Drosophila melanogaster: one gene and its partner. The protein of the gene in region 2 interacts with the protein of the main gene of each other region in a pairwise test. Each region holds a gene or a part of one and is shown on either strand. Other genes may lie near its edges. The genes, in order: aqrs and Pepck2.

Evidence for each region.
Region 1: the proteins of Pepck2 (region 2) and aqrs interact in a two-hybrid assay, tested with the Drosophila melanogaster proteins (one large-scale study listed by BioGRID).

Annotation. Positions count from the first base shown.
Region 1 is NT_033777.3:28,756,199-28,760,109, forward strand, and holds aqrs (aquarius), read right to left. Parts: upstream 2,037-3,911; coding exon 936-2,036; 3' UTR 801-935; downstream 1-800. Other genes in the region: CG9997 (uncharacterized protein), read right to left, coding at 1-781.
Region 2 is NT_033778.4:18,525,429-18,529,360, reverse strand, and holds the start of Pepck2 (phosphoenolpyruvate carboxykinase 2), read right to left. Parts: upstream 1,932-3,932; 5' UTR 1,596-1,931; coding exon 1,561-1,595; intron 1-1,560.

The DNA of each region.
Region 1 (3,911 bases), on a different chromosome or scaffold from region 2:
CGCAGATCATAGTGTCGGTGGCGACCATCGCTTCGGGATCCCTCATGCGGAGTCGGCACGCCTGCATCGGTATGATGTACGTTGTCTGCGAGTGAATACTGTGGCGACTCCTGATCCACAGTGGCAGCTCGATGGGCTCGTATATTTCTAGCTCCGAATCGCACAGCTTCACGGTGTCACCAGTCACTTTGGAATTCTTTGGGGACTTGGTTAGTTGAATAGCAACCAGCATGGGATCCGCTCCTTTAAGGTAGGTCTGGTTGAGAGCGACTCTTTTCCCTTCGAGGACTTCGTCATCGTACATCTTCATCGTGACCACTTCACTGCTGGCCAAATTAAAACAAGTGCTAGTGGTAATCACTAGCATCTCGGATATCACCGTGCCCATGCAGATATATTTGTTTTGCTGATAGAGTCTCACCATCAGCTCGTGCAGCGGCACCTTCTTGTCCGAATTGGTCAAGGTAACTACAGGCTCCTTGGAATGTCCATACTGTACTGTGTCATTATTCGGATTATTTGGATTATTGAGATTATTGGGATTATCGGGACTATCGGAATTATTTGGATTATTGGGATTATTTGGATTATTGGGATCGATAGCCATTTCGTGATCGCTCCTTACAGTACGGCGTCGTTTGTAGTTCATTTGGGTTTTTCGATTGTGCTGCGGCTTATAGGTGTCCAGCATATAGCGATGGAGATGAGTGTTCGAGGATTCCGACTCGTTCGCCAGGAAAGCGAGCAAAAGGATCTGAATAATGCACAGTGGTCGCAGCATCGTTACTCAATAAGTCTCTGGTACTAAGCATATCTTATTATTGACTTGACCATAGTGCTTACAAAATCAATTTGTGACGCCTTATAATTTGACATTTACACTAATTGCAACCATAACATAATATTTTTTTACACTGATTAAAATTTGAATAAAACTAATAATAATCGAGAACGCTTTCAACATGATTCTCAATGGAATTCTTGACTTCCCGATCTGGTCCTCCATTAAGAGGATCATCGAATGCTAATTCCTCTGGGGGACCACCAACATAAACATTGGGCGACTTCTTCACTATGGCCTCAAGCAGGGGTGACAATGTAGTTGGATACGATTCATTGTATGGACCCGATCCAGTGAAAGCCCTCAGGGCATCCGTGGCCGTCTGGATGAAGGGTATGACCGGCCTAATGGGTAGGTATATGTCCATGTTGGTGGAGTCGTCATCCTCGTCGCAGTGCTCTCCATATATATTAATGGCCGCCAGTTTGTTGTCAATCAGTAAGGGATCACCAGGCCGGGTGCTGCATGTGGTCTTCTTCGAGTGTCGCTTGTTTCGTACGCAGATAAAGTCCGGCTCAAAGGTGGAAACATGGAATACCTCCTTTAGGCCGTAGTGGATTTTGCAGCGATCTATGTCCATAACCCGCGTGTTGTACAGTCTGATCTGGAACTTGGGTGGACCATAGTAGGCCATCTTTACGTCATCCCCCGCCTGTGGCTTCTTACGATGCAGGGGAATATATCGGTATTTGTCTCTGTCGAGCTTGTTAGAGAGGGCGAGCAGAGCCACGTAGTTGGTAAAGCGTTCATTCTTATTAACCGGCATGAAAAATCCGATCACCTGATGTGGTTCCGGATTGTCGTCCAATTCCACGCCAGTCAATATGGACAGATGTTTGGCCGTGTACTCGTATATCAAATCGAATCTCCGCGGCTGGAAGCAGTGCGTCGAGGTCACGACCATTCTGCGGGAGATTAGCGCCCCCGCACAGATGACGGATCCCTCGTTCAACACGTTTACGTAGTATGTCAAGTCCCGCGTAGCATCGAAAGGAAGTCGCTTTTGGACCTCCACCGGCTTCGGTTTGTCCCGTTCCTCGAGAGCTTCTCGATTGTAATCCACGTGGTCCTTGGTTCTGTGGGCTCGATTGTAGTAAGTGGGTCGGTGGTAGTTCTCCGAGTACTTTTTTATCCACAGGGAGGCACTGTAGTCCATCCCAAGGATGGACAAAATGCATGTGAATAGGAGTCGCATGTCGAAAAGGAACTGGCACTTTAATCAGATTCCAGCACGCCGAACGAGATTTAGTTAGCTAACTTAATTAGTTTCACTTTGAGTAAAAGAAAATTAAGTCACTCAGTGTTCACACATGAACACGAATATATTTAAAGACTTACAATTTTGGGCTCCGTTCATATCTTATGTAAATGAATCGAGAGCGATAAATTATATTTAGGATTTTGTTATCTAAGGCGACATGGGTGCATTGCTCAAAAACATGTAATTTAAGTGCACACTACATGAGTCAGTCACTTGAGATCGTTCCCCGCCTCCTAAAATAGTCCCTTAGTGGGAGACCACAGATAAGGTCCTCGCCGCTCAAGATAGGCAGATGTGCCCGAGCGTGGGACCTCGATAAGGCGGGGACTATTTACGTAGGCCTCTGCGTAGGCCATTTACTTTAAGATGCGATTCTCATGTCACCTATTTAAACCGAAGATATTTCCAAATAAAATCAGTTTCTTACAAAAACTCAACGAGTAAAGTCTTCTCATTTGGGACTTTACATTTGGTCCTTCGAGCCGGATTTGAACCAGCGATATGAGAATAAAAGAAACATATTCTCAGATCATATGAATAGGCTTATGGATATGCCAAATTTAAATTTAGAATCCAATAAGCAAATAAAGACATTTATTGACACGATTAACGAGTCAATTTATATTATAAAATTAAAGGCACAATTACCAGAAGATGTGGATGCAATTTTCGCTCACATAATTCTTCGGAAATTCAATAAAGAATCACTCAATTTATATGAAAGCCATGTTAAAAAGACAAAAGAAATACAGGCACTTTCTGATGTCATGGACTTTTTAGAGCAAAGGCTCAATTCTATATCATCATTCTCACAGGAAGTAAAACCTGTAAAGAAAATGATTAATAATAACAAGAATAGAAATTATAGTGACAATTGTGCATATTGCAAACTACCAGGGCATTATTTAATTCAATGCCATAAATTTAAAATAATGAATCCAGCAGAACGGTCTGACTGGGTAAGAAAAAATGGGATTTGCCTAAGATGTCTGAGGCATCCGTTTGGTAAAAAATGTATAAGCGAGCAGCTTTGTTCGACTTGTCGTAAACCTCACCACACGTTACTTCACTTTGCAGGTCATAATCCAGAAAAAGTGAATACGTGTAGAACAACAGGTCAAGCCTTGTTGGCCACGGCCTTGATTCAAGTAAAGTCGAGGTATGGAGGCTTTGAACAATTAAGAGCATTGATTGATAGTGGCTCTCAAAGCACAATTATTTCAGAAGAGTCTGCACAGATTCTAAAATTGAAAAAATTTCGGTCTCATACTGAAATAAGTGGAGTATCTTCCACAGGAACGTGCATCTCCAAGCACAAAGCGGTTATTTCGATAAGAAATTCTCCGAAAAATTTAGAAATTGAAGCAATTATTCTCCCAAAACTTATGAAGGCACTTCCAGTCAACACGATTAATGTTGATCAGAAAAAATGGAAGAACTTTAAATTAGCCGACCCCGATTTTAATAAACCGGGTCGCATTGATTTAATCATTGGAGCAGACGTATATACTCACATTCTGCAAAATGGAGTTATAAAAATAGACGGTCTCCTTGGGCAAAAAACTGATTTCGGGTGGATAGTTTCTGGATGTAAAAAATCCAAAGGAAAAGAAACCATTGTAGCCACAACAATAGAAATAAAAGAGTTAGATCGCTACTGGGAAGTGGAAGAAGAAGAAAAAGATGATATCGAGTCTGAAATCTGTGAAAATAAATTTATCAAAACGACAAAAAAAGATTCAGATGGGCGATACATTGTGTCAATTCCATTCAAGGAGGATGTCACCTTAGGAGATTCAAAGAAACAAG
Region 2 (3,932 bases):
TCAACAATAATATTATTCATTTGGTGTTGTCACTTCACCGACGCCGCTGTATCTAAAGGTTATCATCAATGGCAGTTCCATGGAACAAAGAAGTATCTCTCGGATACCTCCGGCCCATACGCAAATGTTATAGTTTAGTGTTACTTGCTGCACTTGGCCTGTAAGTGGGTGGGTTTATTGCCAAAAAGAGGCTACAAAAACACGCCACCCCATCAAAACAGAAGCCAAAAGTAAAAACAGTCAACAGGCGGCGATAACTTCGAGACATTGTTGCTAGGCGGCCTCAAAAACCCATACATGCAGCGCTTTGTTTTTATTTTGCCCGCCTAATGGCGTCACACATACACAAAAGAGAGGCAGAGCCAGTTGGACAACTTGCCAGCGATCGCACACACACAAACACAAGCCCTCTCACACTGAGAAAATGAGTCAAAACAAAACTGCAAAAATAATAAACCGCCTGTGGGTGGGAGGGTGGCGGTGGAGACGGGAAGCACTGATAAAGACCGAAACAAAGGAAACGGCGGCAATCGCCAAGCTTTTCATTGAAAAAATCTTTTAAGGAGAAAAGTGTTGCATAAACAAGAGCGCCCACAAAGAACTTATGTGGCTTTGGTCAATCACCTGTCGCCTGAAAGTAGGCAGTAAAAACGCTTCTGTGCCCCGAGGAACTGAAATATGTATTTAACGAACTATGCTTAAGCTCCAATGCACTTAAAGAAATTAGGCACTTTATATAAACTTATAAATACAAATGGTATTTAAAAGATTAATTCTAATTCCATCATCGTCAAAAATATTGCGACGACCAATGTATGTTAGCTTCAAAATGATAGTACTTTGCATAAGACATAAGCTTTTGCCGAGAGCGCATCTCTTACCCATGCAGACCACAGGCACTGAGAGATTAAGAATATATAGCGACGAGTGCAATGATCTTGGGAGCTTTATAGATGACATTAACATTGATGGCGGTGGTGTTGTTGGGGTTGATTTTGCCACTTGTTTACATGAATGAAAGTGTAACGGACGCTCTGCGACTGGCAGAGTGTGGAATTTTCCCGCCACGCGATAAGAACGATTCAATACTATTAGCATGACATTTTAGTTGAGGCAGGTAAGTTACTAGGCAATAGCATCTACTAAGTTGGGTTAACCTTAGGGCGTGTAATCCAAGTAGACGACTCAATGCTATTAGGCGATTTGGGATACCCCTCTATTTAGAAAAGGTGGGTATATTGGTTCGGTGTTTTGCGGTGTGAGCATTTCCCTTAGATAAGTGTTGTGTTTATGAAGTGCCTTAAAAATGATTAGATTAATTACTGTCAAATATTGTAAACAAAATATCTAAAGTTGATAAGCTGTTGAAAGAAACAGCTCATAATAGGAATATCTTCTTGTTTATTTTCTATAGGCTACACGGTATTAGCCTGTTTTAAGCACTCAAGTTAATGGATTTACCACTCGACTGCAAGCTGTTAAAGTATCCCCTTTGGGGTTTCGCCATCCTGGAATCCCGCCAATCCGACGGTATCCGAATCCGAATCGCATTAGACTTACCCGCATCGCAGCAGCTGTGCGCCTTTGAGCAGCATTCTGTCACCTGTTCGTGTTGGCTTTCACTTTCTAATTTCGCCCGCTAATACTCTTGGCAGCTAATGCAGTTGCAATTTTATCTCCGTCTTAATTAATTTATTGCGCTTTGTTGGGCCACAGGGTTCCGCTGTTAATTTGATGAAATTGCGGACCTAATTTAAATTTATCTCAGCCTCGTCTGCAATGCACTGGCTTCTGGATGTCACTGGCGCACTTGTTGCGCTTCGTATTCAGCTACAGCCGCGGCAACAGATTATGTTTCGGATTTGGATTCAAATTCAGATTGAGATATAGCGGAGCACTTGTTGCTGCTCTGGCACAACGAGCCAAACTGACTTTATGCGGCACTCGCTGCGCTCAAGTAACATGTGTGCGCAGACCACCGAGCATTTTGCTTGGGTCTCAGCTCCGTTCCCTCGCTCTCATATGAGAACGATCCCATCCCATCCGATCCGATTCGATTCGATTCTTGCCGCTGAAGCATATGGACTATATGTTTTGCTTTCGCTCTGATAAGATAAGAGCCCACACTCGGCGGCCGTTGCATTTCGGGCTCGTGCTACGTGCCGCCCACTGCATATGCAGCAGGTGATTGGGAAAAGCTCTGGGAAACTCGGAAAACACGCCCACCCTTTGGCAGCACACCGGTCTGGCGGGTCCTATTTTGCAATGTCTGCGCTGTTATCACACCAACTGCGATTATTCCATCGCTGATCAACCGCTATACACATTAAAAAGTAAAATGATATACAGATTATATAAGAATAATGAACAATTTTAGGAAACAAATATTCAACTGGAAATATTATTATGTTATATTTTGTAATTTTTGGTTCTCTTTGCAAATTATTTTCTCTTACCCTGCACTTTTCTTATCATTTTAGCCGTATCGTGCGGCTTCCAGTTGGGTACGAGTAATATCGTTTTACTAGGTCTATCAAGCTTATAGACCAGCACAATTTACGATGCTGCTTTCCAATAAAACCACTAACCGAAAAACCAAGTTTTGAAGGTCATACAATGCAATTCCTTCTTCGACGCCCTTCGAAGTCTGATTTTGGCAAGGGGCCGGACTTTTTGAATCAGATGGTTCCAAAGCAAAACAAAACAAATCGAAACTTTCCCCTGGGCGATAAGCCTAATCGGGAATTGTTAGCTCTCGGTCCAAGGTGCTTTGACCAGTGGCCAGCAAACCAAATACAAAATATTCGCCTCTCTCAGAAACCCATAAAAATCGGAAGATTCGTCTGCCGGGGATTAAACGTGCCAGCTGTGGTACAGTGGAACTCCCAAAACCAGAAATAAGAACAGTATAAGCTCCTTTTGCTCTTCTTCAACTTAACGCACTAATCATGAAATATCTTTATTAATAATAATTTCTTGCGTACGGTATAATAATGTTTCATATAAGTATTCTTCACCTTGCAGTGTCTGTTTTTTTTTTAATACATTCAAATTTACACGAGTCCGGGTCATTAGCACTACGACAATAATTGATATACAATATTTATAGTAGAGCTAGGTATATAGATTATTATGTACTGTATATATAGATTTAATGTTCGTATATATAGTGGCGTAAACAAGTAAACTATACAATTAGGCTTGGTACTATGTATTTGGTTTCGGTTGCGTTTGCATTGCGAGGATTCGACTTTGTTAATTGATAAGGTGGGGGAGGGGCAACTAACTGTATGGGGCCTCTTACTTTAAAATTGTGTAAACGTACATATAAATCTGATGGCTAATCGGATCCTTGATTGGAACTGTTTTTGATTGGCGGTGTACAAAATGGATACAAGTCTCCCAAAAACAAGATATAAATGGAAAAATTCCTGCTCTGCTATGGGGAAATCTACCACGTCGGTGACTACAAATCTCTCTAAACTCGACGGGCCATATCATAAGTATATTTCTATATTTGTCTTATTGTCTTCAACGTTCTGTCGTCCGTTCTTTGCATTGACTTTGAGTACTTCGAAATTCCATGTGTTTTGATTCAGTTGTCAGTTTTCAGATATCAGTGTTGCACTTGCCTTTGCCTTACCGAAATAGGAGAAAGTTGGAGGGGACGTTGGGGGATTTGTGTGATAACCATTTTGCCGGAAACCGAATCGGAAATGTGGAAAGGACTATCTTCATAGATATCCTGTTCAGTTAACTGAAGTGAACAATGGGGTGCCGCTTAACAACTAGTTAAATATTAGACGCTTTATGGTTTCCCTTCTTCGATAGAACTTTACAACCACTAAAACTATTCACAGCAGTTTATAATTCTTGATTTGTATTTTTGTTTAGCTCTGTCAGTGTGGGAGAATACTTTTTGAGTGTTTTTT